Coturnix japonica: one gene and its partners. The protein of the gene in region 3 purifies or fractionates together with the protein of the main gene of each other region. This does not show direct contact. Links are inferred from orthologs where the notes say so. Each region holds a gene or a part of one and is shown on either strand. Other genes may lie near its edges. The genes, in order: TANC2, PFDN2 and PPP1CC.

Region 1 (5,388 bases), on a different chromosome or scaffold from region 3:
CTCATCCAGTTCCAACCCCCTGCTGTGTGCAGGGTCACCAACCAGCAGCCCAGGCTGCCCAGAGCCACATCCAGCCTGGCCTTGAATGCCTGCAGGGATGGAACATCCGCAGCCTCCTTGGGCAACCTGTTCCAGTGCATCACCACCCTCTGGGTGAAAAACTTCCTCCTAAGATCCAACCCAACCCCCCCCCCATCTCAGTTTAAAACTATCCCTCCTTGTTCTATCACTGTCCACCCATGTGAATGTGGCCTCGCAGCTCTGAAGGTAAAAACACACGACAGTTTCCATACACAACCCTGCACATGACAACATATTTTGTTTCATATTTTTTGGGGGGCGGGAGTGTTTTTTCCTTCTCTTTATTTAATAGGCTCTTGAGAATTGGAAGCTTTCAGCAGAAGGACTGATACCATAGGAGTTTATAGACATGCTGTCTGAAGCTTCTAAGGCAGCTGCTAACAGATCAGATGCTGACTGCTGATCTCAGAGCTTTCCCAAAGCAGCATTGATTTTGTCTCCTTTCCTTTCCTCCTCACCCGAGATGTCACTAACTCATTGTGACAGTCACTGCACTGAAGGTCTTTGCTCATTGTCATGAAAGCTGTCAGAGTGCTGCAGAGTTCAGGGCTCTGTTGTCCTGCAAAATGGTGTCTGTTGTCATCGGCCTCACAAATAGTCCACATTAGTTTCTTTTCTGACCCTTCCTATCACCACATCTGAGCAAACATCGCATCTACCTGATTTGAAGCCCTGTTGTTCAGAGCAGCTTGCAGAAATGGCCCAAAGTGCAGAGCAGCAGCGTGCACCCAATGCGTGTGGTTCTCCTGGGCATGGGGGTATGCAGAGCCAGCACAAACACAGCACTTTGTTTTCTTGGCATGCACAAATGTCACCGTAGGAGGAGTGGGGCTGCTCCTTCCTCCCAGCAGTCCTGGGTTGGGAGCCACTGCCATGCAGGAAAATGAGCTGGGTAACTCATTGCGAGGTATTTCAGCTCTGGGTTATAGGGCATTTTGGAGGATGCTTGTTTCTCTTGCCACACAGGTTGACCTCCAGCTGGTCCCAAGTTATTGGGGGATGGAAATATGGAATCAGGGCTCTCCATATCTTCCAGCTCTGCAGATGGGGAGTGCTGGCAGGCTGATGGCTACTAAGAGTTCTGCAACAAAACGAGCAATGTCTGGAAATTGGTTTTAAGATCTATAACGTTTAAGGCACTGTAAATATATCAGCAGGTCTTTTACAAGGTGCTGATGGAGTTTTAATGGTGCTGGGGCAAAATTGTTGCTTAATGGTTAATGATGGATATCACTGAGAAACTTATATTCATGTTTCTCCAATATGTGTATATATTTAATCTCAAGGAATTTAAATAATATATAGGAGAACAAAGTAGGGATTCTTCCCCTCTCTCTGCTTCCTCCTTTGGGCTTTATGAGAAACATGATATATGGATATAAAACTCAGGCTCCACTCACTCCATGATTTCAGAGCCATAAAGTGTGTTTCCAGGTGCATCCAATGAGCTTATGAGGGAGTCAGCTGAAAAAGGATCTCTGGTGACTTTAATGCAAACTGTGTGTTTTTCATATGGCTATTAGTGGTACGTTCAGAACTAAATGCAACTTGGTAACGTCAGGCTGGGACAGAATGGGATTCCACTCAACTCCCTGGAGTATTGTGGACAGCTCATGTTGGCAATGAGTGTTCATTCATTAAAATACCTATTTTCTGAGGATGGAAGCTGAGTATGCATGGACCTACCTATGTGCAATTAGTGTGTCATAAGAGAGAGGTTGTCACCATATCTTCTTTCTCCCTTACCCTTAAAGTACTCTGTAGCCACATGTTTGGCCTCATAAGGAAATGCTTTCTTCTCTTTTTTTTGCATCTTAGAGAGGAAGATCCCTGACGAAGATTTCATCATATTAATTGATGGTTTAAACGAGGCTGAATTTCACAAGCCAGATTATGGTGACACCATCGTATCATTCCTGAGCAAAATGATTGGGAAATTCCCTTCCTGGCTGAAGCTGGTTGTGACCGTCAGGACGAGTCTACAGGTACTCTGAGTCCTGGGAACTGCTGGGCTGTCAGGATGGGCTGTGATAAAGAATAGCTTAGGGTGTATCAGGCTTTGCTGGTGGTAGGTAAATTGCATCCCCTGTTGTCTTCACTGTGAGCTTTGGTTTTGCACCACCATTCAGGAGATGGGGCTGCTCTCCTCAGTCTCTGCTGGGTCATTTCTCCCCAGTATGCAGTGACAGAGCCTATAACATAAGAACCCTGTTGGAAAAGCATTTAATGATTTGGGGGTTTGCTCTATAAGCACATCCATTGGTGAGCTTAGCAAATGAGAGATTCCCTGGCCATGGTATCCAGCTAGACATCATTGCTTGGAAACAGTGGAACTTACTCCCTGTGACCTGCCCTGTTGGTCAGGGTCAGCAGTGGGATTTCTCTTCTATCACCTCCACATCCTCCACTTTCAATGGCTGAGATGACAGCAGGAGGGTTGGCACGTTGCTGTTGGGTTGGGCTGGGGTGGGGATGATGAGGGCACCTCTCTGTGCCAGTTTCCTGGTCCTTCTTGTGGATGCAGTGTTAGGAACCACATCCTGCATTTTTATTTCAGTCACGTCTCACACAGAAACTGTTTGATTATAGATGAGGTTGTGAGGTCCTGAGGGCTTAAACTGCCTTCTCATGTGCTTTCTCTGATGGAAAAGGTCTTAAAGGAGTCTCGGAGGTGCTATTGTAATACAAATCAAGTTTACTTAATGAATAATAAGCATTCCCAGAATGAATATACTTCTGTTTTCTTTCTTTGCAGGAAATAATTAAGCTGTTGCCCTTCCACAGAATATTTTTGGATAGACTGGAAGAGAACGAAGCCATAGACCAGGACCTGCAGGCTTACATCCTCCATCGGATACACAGCAGCTCGGAGATCCAGAACAACATCTCACTGAACGGCAAAATGGACAACACCACCTTTGGCAAACTCAGCTCTCACCTCAAGACCTTGAGCCAAGGGTCCTACCTGTACCTGAAACTCACTTTTGATCTCATAGAGAAAGGATATCTAGTACTAAAAAGCTCCAGCTACAAAGTAGTCCCAGTGTCTCTGTCAGAAGTTTACCTGTTGCAGTGCAATATGAAGTTCCCAACGCAGTCTTCCTTTGATCGGGTTATGCCTCTCTTGAATGTGGCAGTGGCATCTCTGCATCCTTTAACAGATGAGCATATTTTTCAGGCCATTAATGCAGGTAACATTGAGGGCACTTTGGAGTGGGATGACTTTCAGCAGAGGATGGAGAACCTTTCTATGTTTCTTATCAAACGTAGAGACATGACGCGAATGTTTGTTCATCCCTCTTTCCGAGAATGGCTTATTTGGAGAGAAGAAGGTGAAAAGACCAAGTTTCTTTGTGATCCTCGGTAAGCAGACGCTCTGAGAAATGGGTTTATGGATGTGTGTTCATCTAAAAGTGTTCTGTTCTGTTCTGAGAACCGCTTCGTTGGTTGAGGTCACACATGGGATGAGGTTGCTTTTACTTGGCTTTCTGTCCACACTGTGTGGGTCTACATCTGTGCTGGTCTCCTTAAACCTATGTGTTGGTCATGGAAAGTTGTGGGTGCTTCCTGGGCACACAGATGAGCCAGGAAACATCAGAGTCATCTCCAGGGTGAGCTGAGCCCTGGAAGGACCTCGGAGGGTCCACACTCGGCAGCTCGAAGCTGCAGTTATGGCACTGCTGGGGGGAGCTGCATTGACATCCCCAGCTCTGGCAGGAGGGAGAATCTTCCTCCATTCCCTCCCAGCCACGCAAAATAAGGGATGAGGAGATGAAGGATGAGCAGCATCGATGCATCTTTTGAAGCTGGCTTCTTTTTGAAGTCTTGCTCCTTGTAGTCCTATTAAGTGTCATTTGGAGAGCAGAATGAGGAACAGAGTCAGGCTTTAGCAATGTTGGACTCTTAAGTGCATGTGTAATCTCTGTTCTGACAGCAGCAGAGCTCCTGGCTTAGCTCACAGAGAACAGAATTTAATCATGGTTAGATTTACATTCTGTAAGCCCAATGATCACTATTAACTGCGTTATCTTTTGTTTTTTACTGAAGAGTGGAAACAGACGCTCTGACTGTAATGCTGGTCGTTGATCCCTGTAAGCTCTGCTCTCTTTTCCCTGCCCATCTCCAAAAATACGATTAGAAAACTCAGGGAAACACTTGGATTCTCAGCCTTATCGGGGCATCTCTAGGCCCTGCAACCAGGCTGATGAAACACAGCATTGTCTGCTGGAACCAAACAGCTCCTGGTTGATCAAAGCAGCCATAGCTGCTGGCGGTCTCAGAGTAATTTACTGCTTTAAATTTTGTGGCAAACAGTCTGGAGTAGAAAAATAGCACGTAGCTCCTCCCAATGGGAAACCGACCTGCTTTAATAGGTTCTGCACAACAGTCCTATCGAGTGAACCCTTTGGAAAGCATCTTACAGCAGCGAGTGGCTCTGTATCAATCGATGGCAGCTATTTGATATCCTTCCTCTTGAGTCATTAAGTGCTTGTCGCTGGAGAATTCTTCTCAACCTTCTTTGTAATGTGTGTGTGCCTGTGATGCCTGTGGAGCTGAGATCTGCTCCCCTTCCTGGGTATGGGCAGCCTGGGAGCAATGATCACCACCACAGGAGCAGTTCAGGTAATTCAGTGCCATCCTGTGTTGGCAGGAAAAGGAAACCCATCTGCAGAACACTCCCCTGATGCTGAACACCCCCATATGTGGCATTCTGCACATAGCAGCCAGTTGTGCAGCTGTGTAATCCAGGTGTTTTTGGTTCCCTGAGCCCAGCACTGTTCTTCCTGGTGCTTACAGAGGTGGCCAGGAGCTTCCTATTCTCACAGTGGTAGGATGAGAGGTGATGGCTTCCACCTCTCAGGTGGTAAATACGTGGTCACTTGAGCATATGTGGGCATCTGTAGGGCCCCATGGGATTGCCAGCACTCAGCAGACCAGGTGCCTTGCCAGAGGCAAGAAGTTACACAGTGCTAAAACAGGCTGCCAGTGCCTTGAGTGCAAGTCTGTATGTACTGAAAGGCTAATAAATTTCTCTAATGTATAATGCACGCTAATTGCATTACACTCTGATGGTAGATAATGAAGCAGGATACATTTGGGTGATTAATAGGGCAGACCCCCTGAGATTCTGCTGTTGTGCTCCTCAAAACCCTCCTGTCCAGCTAATATTGAGACGTTGAGCTCAGGGCATAGTAAACCCTTAGTAACAATGAAGATAAATGATGATTTTTCACTTTATTTCTCTAAAAGAAGCACAGCTTGCCCCTGACCGAGCCACCAGGAGCAGATTTGGCTGCAGCTTTGATT
Region 2 (5,488 bases), on a different chromosome or scaffold from region 3:
CCAGGACACCCCCAGTTTGTCCCCAGGACTCTCAGGCTGCCCCTCAACCCGCTTCCAAGCTGCCCCATGTTGCTCCTAGCACCCCTCCCAAACTGACCCAACACCTCCAGACGGCCTCCAAGCCATAGACTGCCCCCAGGTAGCCCCATAGACTGCCCCTATGCAGCCCCATGTTGCCTCTTGGAGCACCTAACAGCTCCCAGGCAGCCCCAGGACCCCACCAAAGTGCCTCACAGTGCCCCCATGTCCCTCCTCATACCCTAACCACCCCTAACCATCTCAGGACCACCATGACTTGCCTCTAGAATGCACCAGCTTGCCCTCAACCCCAACCCACACCCCAGCTGCCCCACACTGCCTGTACAACCCCTCCATACTGCCCCACATTGCCGCATAGAAAACCCTCCATCACTGCCGTCACATTGCCTTAGAACCTCCATTCCTGCCCCACATTGCGCCCTTAGTATTAGCCACGTGCCATACTGGCCCCACATTGCTCACATAGAACCCTCCATACTCGCCGTCACATTGTGTTGCGGCTTAGGAACCCTCGCATTTCTGCGTACCACATTGCCCTCAGAAACCCTCCATACTGCTTCTTCACAGGCTCTTGCCCTTAGAAAACGCCCTCCATTTCTGCCCCACATTGGCCCTTAGAACCCTCCATTCTGCCCCCAACAATTGCCCTCTTAGCAAAACTCATCCCATTCTGCCCCACAATTGCCCACTCTAGAACCCTCCAATTCCTCGCCCCACATTGCCCTTAGAACCCTCATTCTGCGCCTCACATCCTGCCTTAGAACACTCCCATTCGTGCCCCACATTGGCCCTTGACAACGCCTCTCATTCTGCCCCACATTGCCCTTGACAGACCTAGCAGTGACTGCCCTCACAATTGCCCCTTAGAACCCTCATACCGCCCCACATTGCCCCTTAGAACCGCCTCCATTCCTGCTCACATTGCCTTAGACCTCCATACTGCCCCACATTGCCCTTAGAACCCTCCATACTGCCCCACATTGCCCTTACAACCCTCCATACTGCCCCACATGCCCTTAGAACCCTCCATACTGCCCCACTTCCCTTAGAAACCCTCCATTTCTGCCCCCATTGCCCTAATGCCCGTCCATATCTGGCCCCACTATTGGCCCTTTAGAACCCTCCATACTGCCCCACATTGCCCATAGAACCCTCCATACTGCCCCACATTGCCCGCATAGAACCCCCATATACATGACCCTCACGATTGCCGCTACAAACTCCTCCCATAACTGCCCCGACATTGCCCTTAAACCCTCTCATACTGGCCACACATTGCCCTATGAACGCCCCCATACTGCTTCGCCATCGCCCCTAAACACCCTTCAAACAACCCCATAGAACCCCCAACACCCTTCAAACACCCCATAGAACCCCAACAACCTTCAAATCACCCCCCTATTATGATAACCTTCCAACTGCCCTTAAATGCCCACTTTGATTCTCTCTTCCCATTGCCCACAGGATTTCTCCAGAACCCTGTATCCCCCCCCGGCCCGTACAATATCGTTCTCGCGGCCCCGCACCGAGGCGGGAGGCGTGACAGATGAGGGGTCAATGGGCAAAGTCCCTGCCACAACAAGATGGCGGCCGGCACTACCTCACCATATAGCCACCGCTGCCGGGTTTTGAGCCATAACCAAGATGGCTTCCATGGTGTTTCCTGTATACACCGGAAGAGCTTTACTCGCTGTCGCTCTGCGCCGGAAGAGAGGCTGCCCAGTTTCCGGTGTGCGCCGGAAGAGACGCAAAAACGGTGGAGGGGGAAAATGGCGGAACAGCGCGAAAGGGGCGGCCCGGAGCAGCGGGGCCGGGCGGGAAGGCGCTGGACGGCGGAACAGGTGGCGGGGCGGGGTTTGGGGACGGACAGAGGGACGATCCCGGGATCCCAGCGGTGACATCCCCGGTGGTTGTGGTTGTGTGGTTGTTTGAGCAGGTGGTTGGCTCGTTCAAACCGGTTTACGACAGGAACAGCGGCGGCCTGGCGTCCCAACAGGCGGCGGAGCTGAGCTGGAGCTCAACGAACACGGGTGGGGGGGACATCGGGGGGTAACGGGACGGGGGGGGGGGGGGTGGGGCTGGGGTTAGGGGGATGGGAATGTGGGGTTATGGGATTATGGGGGGGTTGTGGGGATATGGGGTGTGGGGAATATGGGGTGGTGGATATAGGGGGGGCGTGGGGACACGCGGGAGGGGTGTAGGGGCATGGGGGGGGTACGGGATATGGGGGGGGGGTGTGGGGACATGGGAGGCGTGGTGGGGGAATATTGGGGGGGTGTGGAGATATGGGGGGTTGGGGGTCATGGGGGCGGTACGGGGATATGGGGGTGTATGGGATATGGGGGGGCGTGGGGGGTATGGGATATGGGGTATGGAGACTGGGGACATGGGGGGCTATAAGGGGGAACATGGGGGTAGGGAAATATGGGGGGTATGGGGACATGGGGTCATGGGGGGGTGTGGGACATGAGGGAGGTACATGTGTATGGGGGTGTAATGGGAGACATGGGGAGGGTGTGGGGATATGGGGGGGGTGTGGGGATATGAGGGGGGTACAGGGACATGGGGGGTATGGGGCTATGGGGAGGTGTGGGGACATGGAGGCATGTGGGGATGGGGGTGTGGAGATATGGGGGTAGGGGTTTACATGGGTAATGGAATATGGGGGGGGGTATGGAGACATGGGGTCCATGGGGGTGTGGGGACATTGGGGGGAGTAACGGTGATATGGGGGTGTATGGGGACATGGGAGGGGTTAATGGGGACATGGGAGGGGGGTGTACGGGGATATGGGTTATGGTGACATGGGGCCAGTAGGGGGGTTATGGGTCATGGGGGTGTGGGGGGAACAACTAGGGGAGGGTATTTGGGGTCATGGGGGGTGTGGGACATGGGAGGCTACAGGGATATGGGGGGGTATGGGGACATGGGAGGCTACAGGGATATGGGGGGGGGTACGGGGACATGGGGGTGTGGGGACGTGGGGGGTATGGGGATATGGGGGGTACGGGGAACATGGGAGAAGTATAACAAGAATGGGGGGTGCGTGGGGGATGTTGGCATTATGAGACATGGGAGGAGGTCATGCGGGGAATAGTAGGGGTGTGGGGACATGGGAGGGCATTGGGGACATGGGGTGTGTGTGGGGACATGGCGCGCGGTATGGGATATGGGGGGTAAGCGGGAGCTTGGGGGGATTGTGGGGACATGGGGGGTATGGGATATGGGGGGTGTGGGGACTTGGGGTTAGGGGGGCAATGGGGGGGGTACGGGGATATTGGGGGGGGGGTGTGGGGACAATGGGGGGGTATGGGGAACGGGGGGGGGTATGGGGACATGGGGTCTTTGGGTGGGGTAGCCGGGGACATGAGGGGTACGGGGATATGGGGGGGGGTGTGGGGACAGTGGAGTGGGGGACATGGGGTGTGGGGACAATGGGGCCCAGTTGTGGGGACATGGGGGGGTATGGGGACATGTTGGGGGTACGGGGATATGGGTAAGCAGTGGTTGGGGGCACCTGGGCAAATGGGTGAGGGGGGAAAAAAAAAGGGGGGGAAAAAAAAACGGGGGACGTTTATGGAATAGGGGCAAGCAAGGGAATGGGGGGGGGCACGGAGGACATTGGGTACCAAGGAGGGGTGGGCAGCAGAATGGGTTTGGGGGGATACTGAAGGGAATGGGAGGGTAATGGGGGTGTAAGGGCGTGGGCTGGGAGAAAGATGGGGGTTGGCAAAGGGATATGGAGGGGGGGTGGTAACAGTGAATGGGGGAGGCATTGGGATAGGGGGAACCAGCGGGGGTGTGGGTGTCAGTGGGATGGGTGTGTGAGGGACGTTGTAAGGGGGGGGGATGTGGGGGGATGGAAATGGGTGTGTGGAAGGTGGGGGGGGACAGTACGGGGGGGGGGGGACGCTGGGGTGTCACTGGGTGTGTGAGGGACACCAGGATGAGGAGACACTGATGTGTCGGGGCACGTTGGGGATATGAGGGGGGACAGTGAGGATGTGGGGGGGGGTCATCGAGTATGGGGGGGTGACTTGGGGAGGATGTGGAGGGCGTATTGGTTGGAGGATAGGAGCTGACACTGGGGTGTGGCGGGGCTTGCATGGGGGGGGGGGCCTCCCTGGATGGAGGAGGAAACATATGAGGAGTGGTGGGAGCGACGCTGTGATGAAACGAGGGATCTGGTTGAACGCTGGGAGCGCTGCAGGGTTGACGGGGGCTGACGGACCCCCCCCCCCCCAACAGCCTCGTGATTGAGACGCTGCGGGAGGTGGATCCCACACGGAAGTGTTACCGCATGGTGGGGGGCATCCTGGTGGAGCGCACTGTCAAGGAGGTGCTGCCCGCACTCGAGGGCAACCGAGAGCAGGTAACTCCAAACCCCCCCGGCACCCACAGACCCCTCCGCTCCCTCCCATAAAGCCCCTAAAGCCCCTCCTCTCTCTCCTCCCAGATCAGCAAAATCATCGAGTCGTTGAGCCAGCAGCTGCAGAGCAAAGGCCGCGAGCTGAACGAGTTCCGTGAGAAGCACAACATCCGCCTGGTGGGCGAGGATGACCCCCGGCAGCCCCCCAAGGACGGCACCGAGGGGGGCAAGGGCGGCACTGCCGGCGTCCTGGTGTCGTAGCCTTGTCCCCCTGCTGCCCCCTGCCCTCGTTGAGTGATTTTGTTGAATAGATGTGGGGATTTTGGGTCACAAGTGTTCTCTAGTTACGGGGCAGAGCCCTGGGAGGTGGCACTGAGGGCGGTGATAGCGGTGGCACTTTGAGGACGCCCTTGAGCTGCCCCATGGCTGCTGGTGGCCGCCTCCTTCCTGCACCACGTCCCTGCTGTGCCCTGGGCTGTGGGGGAGGGGCACACAAAGGTGTCACTTCTGCTGGGGGTGCAGGGGACAAAAAGCCACCAGGACGTTGTCCCCGCTTGGATCCTGTGTCCATCTTGTGCTGTTTCTCTTCCAAAAGTGTGTTCCTTTGGCAAAGGGGATGTGGGCAGCTCATGAGGGGGTCAATAGGGCTGGCACTGGGGGGGGACAAGGGGACATGGGGATGCTGGGGGCACACACAGCAGTGTGGGGATGCAGAGACATGGGCTGGTACTGGGGGATTTGGGGGCATGGGGTGATGGAGGTGCTGGGGGTGGCATGGGGGACACAGGGACAACGGGGTGTGGGGATGATGCTGGTAATAGCACGGGGACATGGGGCCATGTCTTTATGTTACGGGGGGGTTGTGTGGCCCCAGGGCTGGTGTTGGTGGGGGGGAAAGGGGACACGACCCCCCTGTGGGTGTGGGGCATTGTGGGGAGAGCAGCGGGAGGGGACACGGGGTTGTCCCCTGTCCACAGGAGCCGGTTGGGTGCTGGTGTGTGCCGGTGTGGGGCAGGGACAGGAGGGGACGTGTTGACTGTACACAGCCCGCACCCACACGACGCTGGGTGCAGCCGGTCC
Region 3 (4,328 bases):
GCAATCCCTTTAAAACAAATCTGAACGTAAAAAAAAAGTTCACAGTGGTTTGTATAAACAGTAAGTCATCTCCAACAGTAACAAACTCTACTCTCACAGCACACCAGTGCCCTCTTTAGATCCTAAAGGAGAAAACAAGCATTTACACTAATTGTACAGGTTGAGAAAGTCAGTCGTACGGTTACCCATCATGACAGGATCGATGCTGCGGAGCGTGCAGCCCAACACCAACAAAAGGGAAGCCTAAAACTCTTTTTCTTAGAAGGGAGAAAAGTCCTTCATTTGCTGTTACAACCAGCAAATGCCATTCATCAAATCAAAAGGGAAACCACAAACACGTTCTATTGTGAGCAAGCTGAACAGTACACGTTACAGTTTAAAAAGGAAGGTTATATATTATAATACAAGTCCCAACCAGGCAGTGCCACGTGGACTATTTCTTGGCTTGCTTTGTGATCATACTCCTGGGAGGCGTTACAGGTCTGCTGGCGTTGGGCTTTTTCTTCTCCGCGGGTTTCAGGATCTGAAAAAGACAGTTCAGTCATTAAGCAAAGTGCTGGCTGCCCTACACTCCACTCAACAGCCCATTTGGTCGTGTAAGGAGCTACGCAGATCATCTGGGCAGCTCATAAGCCTCTGAAATAAATGGGTTTTCTGCTCTGAGCTCTGTTGGGGCTTAGAGAGCAGCTGACCAGAGGGCCCATGCCAATGGAAGCAGGAAGACAGCTGATAGCTTTGCTCCAGCTATTTAATCCCAGGGTCAAACAGTTCATCTACTCACACCAGAAAGGGCTTATCACATTTTTAAAGCCACAAGGGCAAACACAGCTCTGCCTACACTCAATACGTGAGATCTATTTGAAGCAGGTGTTACAGGTGTGCGATGGCACAGTATAAATGGAAAAGATGAAACAAAGTGTTACTGCAATAACTGGGAGGTAAAGTTGTCAGATACAATACCTGAAAAGAACACATTAAGGTTTCATCCACGCTCATCATGGCACCTGCGTTATCAAACTCTCCACAGTAATTTGGGGCAGAAAAGAGAGTTACCAACTGTCTTTTTGCAAAGAACTCGTATCCATCTTCCACAACCTTTGGAGAGAAACACAAATTACACCAGGCAATTTCCTCCAGACAAAGTACAGTGAAACGCAGCTCTAGCAGAGTCAGCAGCTGAAGAAACAGTCATAGCCAAGGAGCACCAGTCCTAGACTTTCACCCCCAAACTGGGAAAACATCACAAGCTCCAGCTCAACAAGGTCCATCAGCAATAAAAGCCACCAGAGTTCTGTGACGTTGAAAGCCATCTTGTTCAAATACCAGCCCCACACTATGAATGCACTGAGCATTAATTACAAAGGCTTTTAAACAGCAGACAAGCTGCTCCAAGATGCTGGAATCTCCATCCTTGCTTATATATAAAGCCAGCTGGATGAGATCTTGCATGTCTGTTTTGCTCCACACTGAGTACACGTGCATGGAGATGACCACCTCAGGTCCCTTTCCATTTCAATTATCCCATGGTTTAATGCACAAAGTTAAAATACCTGATGAGCTCTACATATGAGATCCAAATCATGTTTATGGAGAAACTTAGCAACCACTTCAGCTCCAAAAGTAAAGGACACTCCTCTGTCATTTTCACCCCATCCTAAGACATCTTTGTCAGGGTCAGACCACAGGAGATCACAAAGAAGACCTTGGTCAGGTACATCAGTGGGACGCATAATTCGTCTGATCTGTTCCATTGACTGAAGGTCTGGTGACAAACCTGTGTGCAGATAAGATAACACAGCTTGCATTTTACTCCACCTTTACACTGTAAAACTGAGGAATCAGCTCAAAGATGAGTGAAGCTTACACAGCCTGATTCCCATCAACATCTGGTGCGGCCCAATGGCAACGTGAAACAACATTTCAATCCAGCATATTTTTAAAGCTTTTCTGACAGGGGACACTATAAGATATACTGGGAGCAAGGTAAGCAAAGCCATTTCCACATGTAAAGGATTATAACAATTCCACTTCAATAATCTGCAAGTGTCTGTTAAAAGAGCTCCTAAGAGGCATTAAATACTAGAAATCACAAGGCTTGTTTATTTTAAAGATCAGGCTGAATAACATGGAATACAGAATCAGATCTTAAACCACTTTTTACTGCTATTCCTCCCGAGAAACTGTTTTACTTGCAGGTGATAATACACACACTGCAGCTTAAATGCTTTGCGCAGCTTTTCCAAGTAGTTAACAACTATCACATAGCACAACAGGGCCAGTCTGTAAACAGAGCACTAAAACACTGTTCTCAGAGTGTTTATACAACTTCTGGTCATGCAAGTCAGAAAACCAATGGGGACTCTTGGAATAAAGGAGACAATACCAGATATGTCCCCTGACAAAGAATACAGAAGGCAGAACTACCAGCTCAGCTATTTATGACAGTACCACTAATCAAGCTCTCAACACAAAGTGATGCAGAGACAAACCCCTGAAGTTTCAAAGCCTCAATAATGAGCTCCAAGACACAAAAAGCCCCTAAAATGTTTTCCAGCAAGAGAGGAGCACATGTCATGAATATGGAATTGCCAATATTTCAGTATTATGGGGTATTACATCTTCATGAAATATCAACTAAAGAACTTAACTTACCTCCGTGACAGCAGAATATCTTCTCATCCACAATTGCTGCAATTGGTAAACAGTTAAAACAATCGGTGAAGGTTTTCCACAGCTTGATGTTGTATCTTCTCTTACCTAGAAAAGATTGGGGGGAAAAAGACCATTCAATCTACTTCTCTAACACAACTACAAGCTACCTACTATGGCTGCCTGTAACTAAGACTTGCAAAAAAGTCATCAATAAAACCTACAAGCAAATATTTATCTTCTCTAATACTCTCTCACATCAGATACAAACCCTGAATGTATCTGCACCATGTGACTAAACCTGTGATTAATCTCTGAGGAGTCAACTCAAATACCACCCAACTCCACTTCCTTGTTGAAAAAGGAGAACGAGACACAGAGAACATTTTGTGACCGACAAGCCAAGCATGTCCCCAGCAGAAGCTGTGAGAAAGCCTCAGTACCCAACCACCGTAACAGCTTTATCTCCTCTATGTGAGATTAGGTCACATCCTTTTGTAACATACAAATGTACACATCTATTAACTTACAGAATTTATTGGGAACTAGATTGCAAGTGCTGTAACCATAATAACACAGAACAGCCCTTTACCCCAATCACAGTATACCTCAAAAGGTACATGAAAGTGACTGAAACCATAAAGCAAAGTAAAATCCCCTAATCTCTGACCAGACAACCTGAAGAACTTTACAAATTCATACCAGTGGGAACAGTTGCTTTACTTCAGTGGCCAATAAATAAAATTACCTCTTTGCTTGCTGTTCTGTACTGTGAGGACCAGACGATAATAAGATCAATGCAAAGACTTCCTTTTGCTAATACAGACCACAGGGCCATCTGAAGTGTGCAGAACTAACTGCAAGTTCAGGAAGTGATTTAATACTGGAGGTCTAGAAGACAGTAAGCACCTCCTACCCTGCTTTCCCAAGCCAAAGGTCCTCCCATCTGACCATATTACTTACATTCATCATAAAATCCATAAATTCTATTAATGCTGGCACATTCATGGTTCCCTCTGAGGAGGAAAAAGTTCTCCGGGTATTTAATTTTGTAGGCCAATAGAAGACAAATTGTTTCTAAAGACTGCTTTCCTCTGTCAACATAGTCACCAAGGAATAGGTAGTTGCTCTCTGGTGGAAAGCCTCCATATTCAAAGAGCCGAAGCAAGTCATAGTATTGTCCATGGATGTCACCTGTAAAAAGCAGTCAGAAATGGCACGTAACTGACTTTGTCATATTTTACAATTATTTTCCCTAGAGAAACAGCACCAACAGGAAAAACCTGCAGACAGATACTGCCTGCAGCATTCCTGAAGATTACATAGTTTGTCTTCATGCTATCACACTCAAAGTTGATATCTACGTAAGACAATGACTAAGAACACATTATGACTCCAGTACGTATCTGCTTTAATATACTCATAGACTCATAAAACAAGTCCAACATCCCAAGAAATCAACTCTACATACTCAAACAAATCTGGCACCCAGTTAAATCCTTTTCTTGACTACAGGCTGCAAGATTAGAAACCCTGACTTCATTCTTGATACAGCCACACTTCAGTAGTGACACTGATGGAAAAACTGCCTGGGGAATTTCCTTTCCTCTATACCACGTCTGGTATTTTCCTGCAACAGCCAGTAACTCAAATTCCAGCAGGGAAGTCGTATCAGAAGA

The links.
Region 1: the proteins of PPP1CC (region 3) and TANC2 purify together in Homo sapiens (affinity purification with mass spectrometry; 3 studies listed by BioGRID and IntAct, counting the BioPlex papers as one, with this or other methods). This does not show direct contact. The link is inferred for Coturnix japonica from reciprocal best matches to the Homo sapiens genes PPP1CC and TANC2.
Region 2: the proteins of PPP1CC (region 3) and PFDN2 purify together in Homo sapiens (affinity purification with mass spectrometry; 4 studies listed by BioGRID and IntAct, with this or other methods). This does not show direct contact. The link is inferred for Coturnix japonica from reciprocal best matches to the Homo sapiens genes PPP1CC and PFDN2.

The regions. Positions count from the first base shown.
Region 1 is NC_029542.1:2,057,569-2,062,956, forward strand, and holds part of TANC2 (protein TANC2), read left to right. Parts: intron 1-1,899; coding exon 1,900-2,066; intron 2,067-2,836; coding exon 2,837-3,444; intron 3,445-5,388. UniProt on the Homo sapiens protein: Scaffolding protein in the dendritic spines which acts as immobile postsynaptic posts able to recruit KIF1A-driven dense core vesicles to dendritic spines.
Region 2 is NC_029540.1:2,482,827-2,488,314, forward strand, and holds PFDN2 (prefoldin subunit 2), read left to right. Parts: upstream 1-1,808; coding exon 1,809-1,880; intron 1,881-2,007; coding exon 2,008-2,069; intron 2,070-4,287; coding exon 4,288-4,411; intron 4,412-4,495; coding exon 4,496-4,669; 3' UTR 4,670-4,967; downstream 4,968-5,488. Other genes in the region: NIT1 (deaminated glutathione amidase), read right to left, coding at 1-149. UniProt on the Homo sapiens protein: Binds specifically to cytosolic chaperonin (c-CPN) and transfers target proteins to it. Binds to nascent polypeptide chain and promotes folding in an environment in which there are many competing pathways for nonnative proteins.
Region 3 is NC_029530.1:5,180,215-5,184,542, forward strand, and holds part of PPP1CC (serine/threonine-protein phosphatase PP1-gamma catalytic subunit), read right to left. Parts: intron 3,844-4,328; coding exon 3,613-3,843; intron 2,758-3,612; coding exon 2,653-2,757; intron 1,775-2,652; coding exon 1,551-1,774; intron 1,096-1,550; coding exon 961-1,095; intron 524-960; coding exon 434-523; 3' UTR 1-433. UniProt on the Homo sapiens protein: Protein phosphatase that associates with over 200 regulatory proteins to form highly specific holoenzymes which dephosphorylate hundreds of biological targets.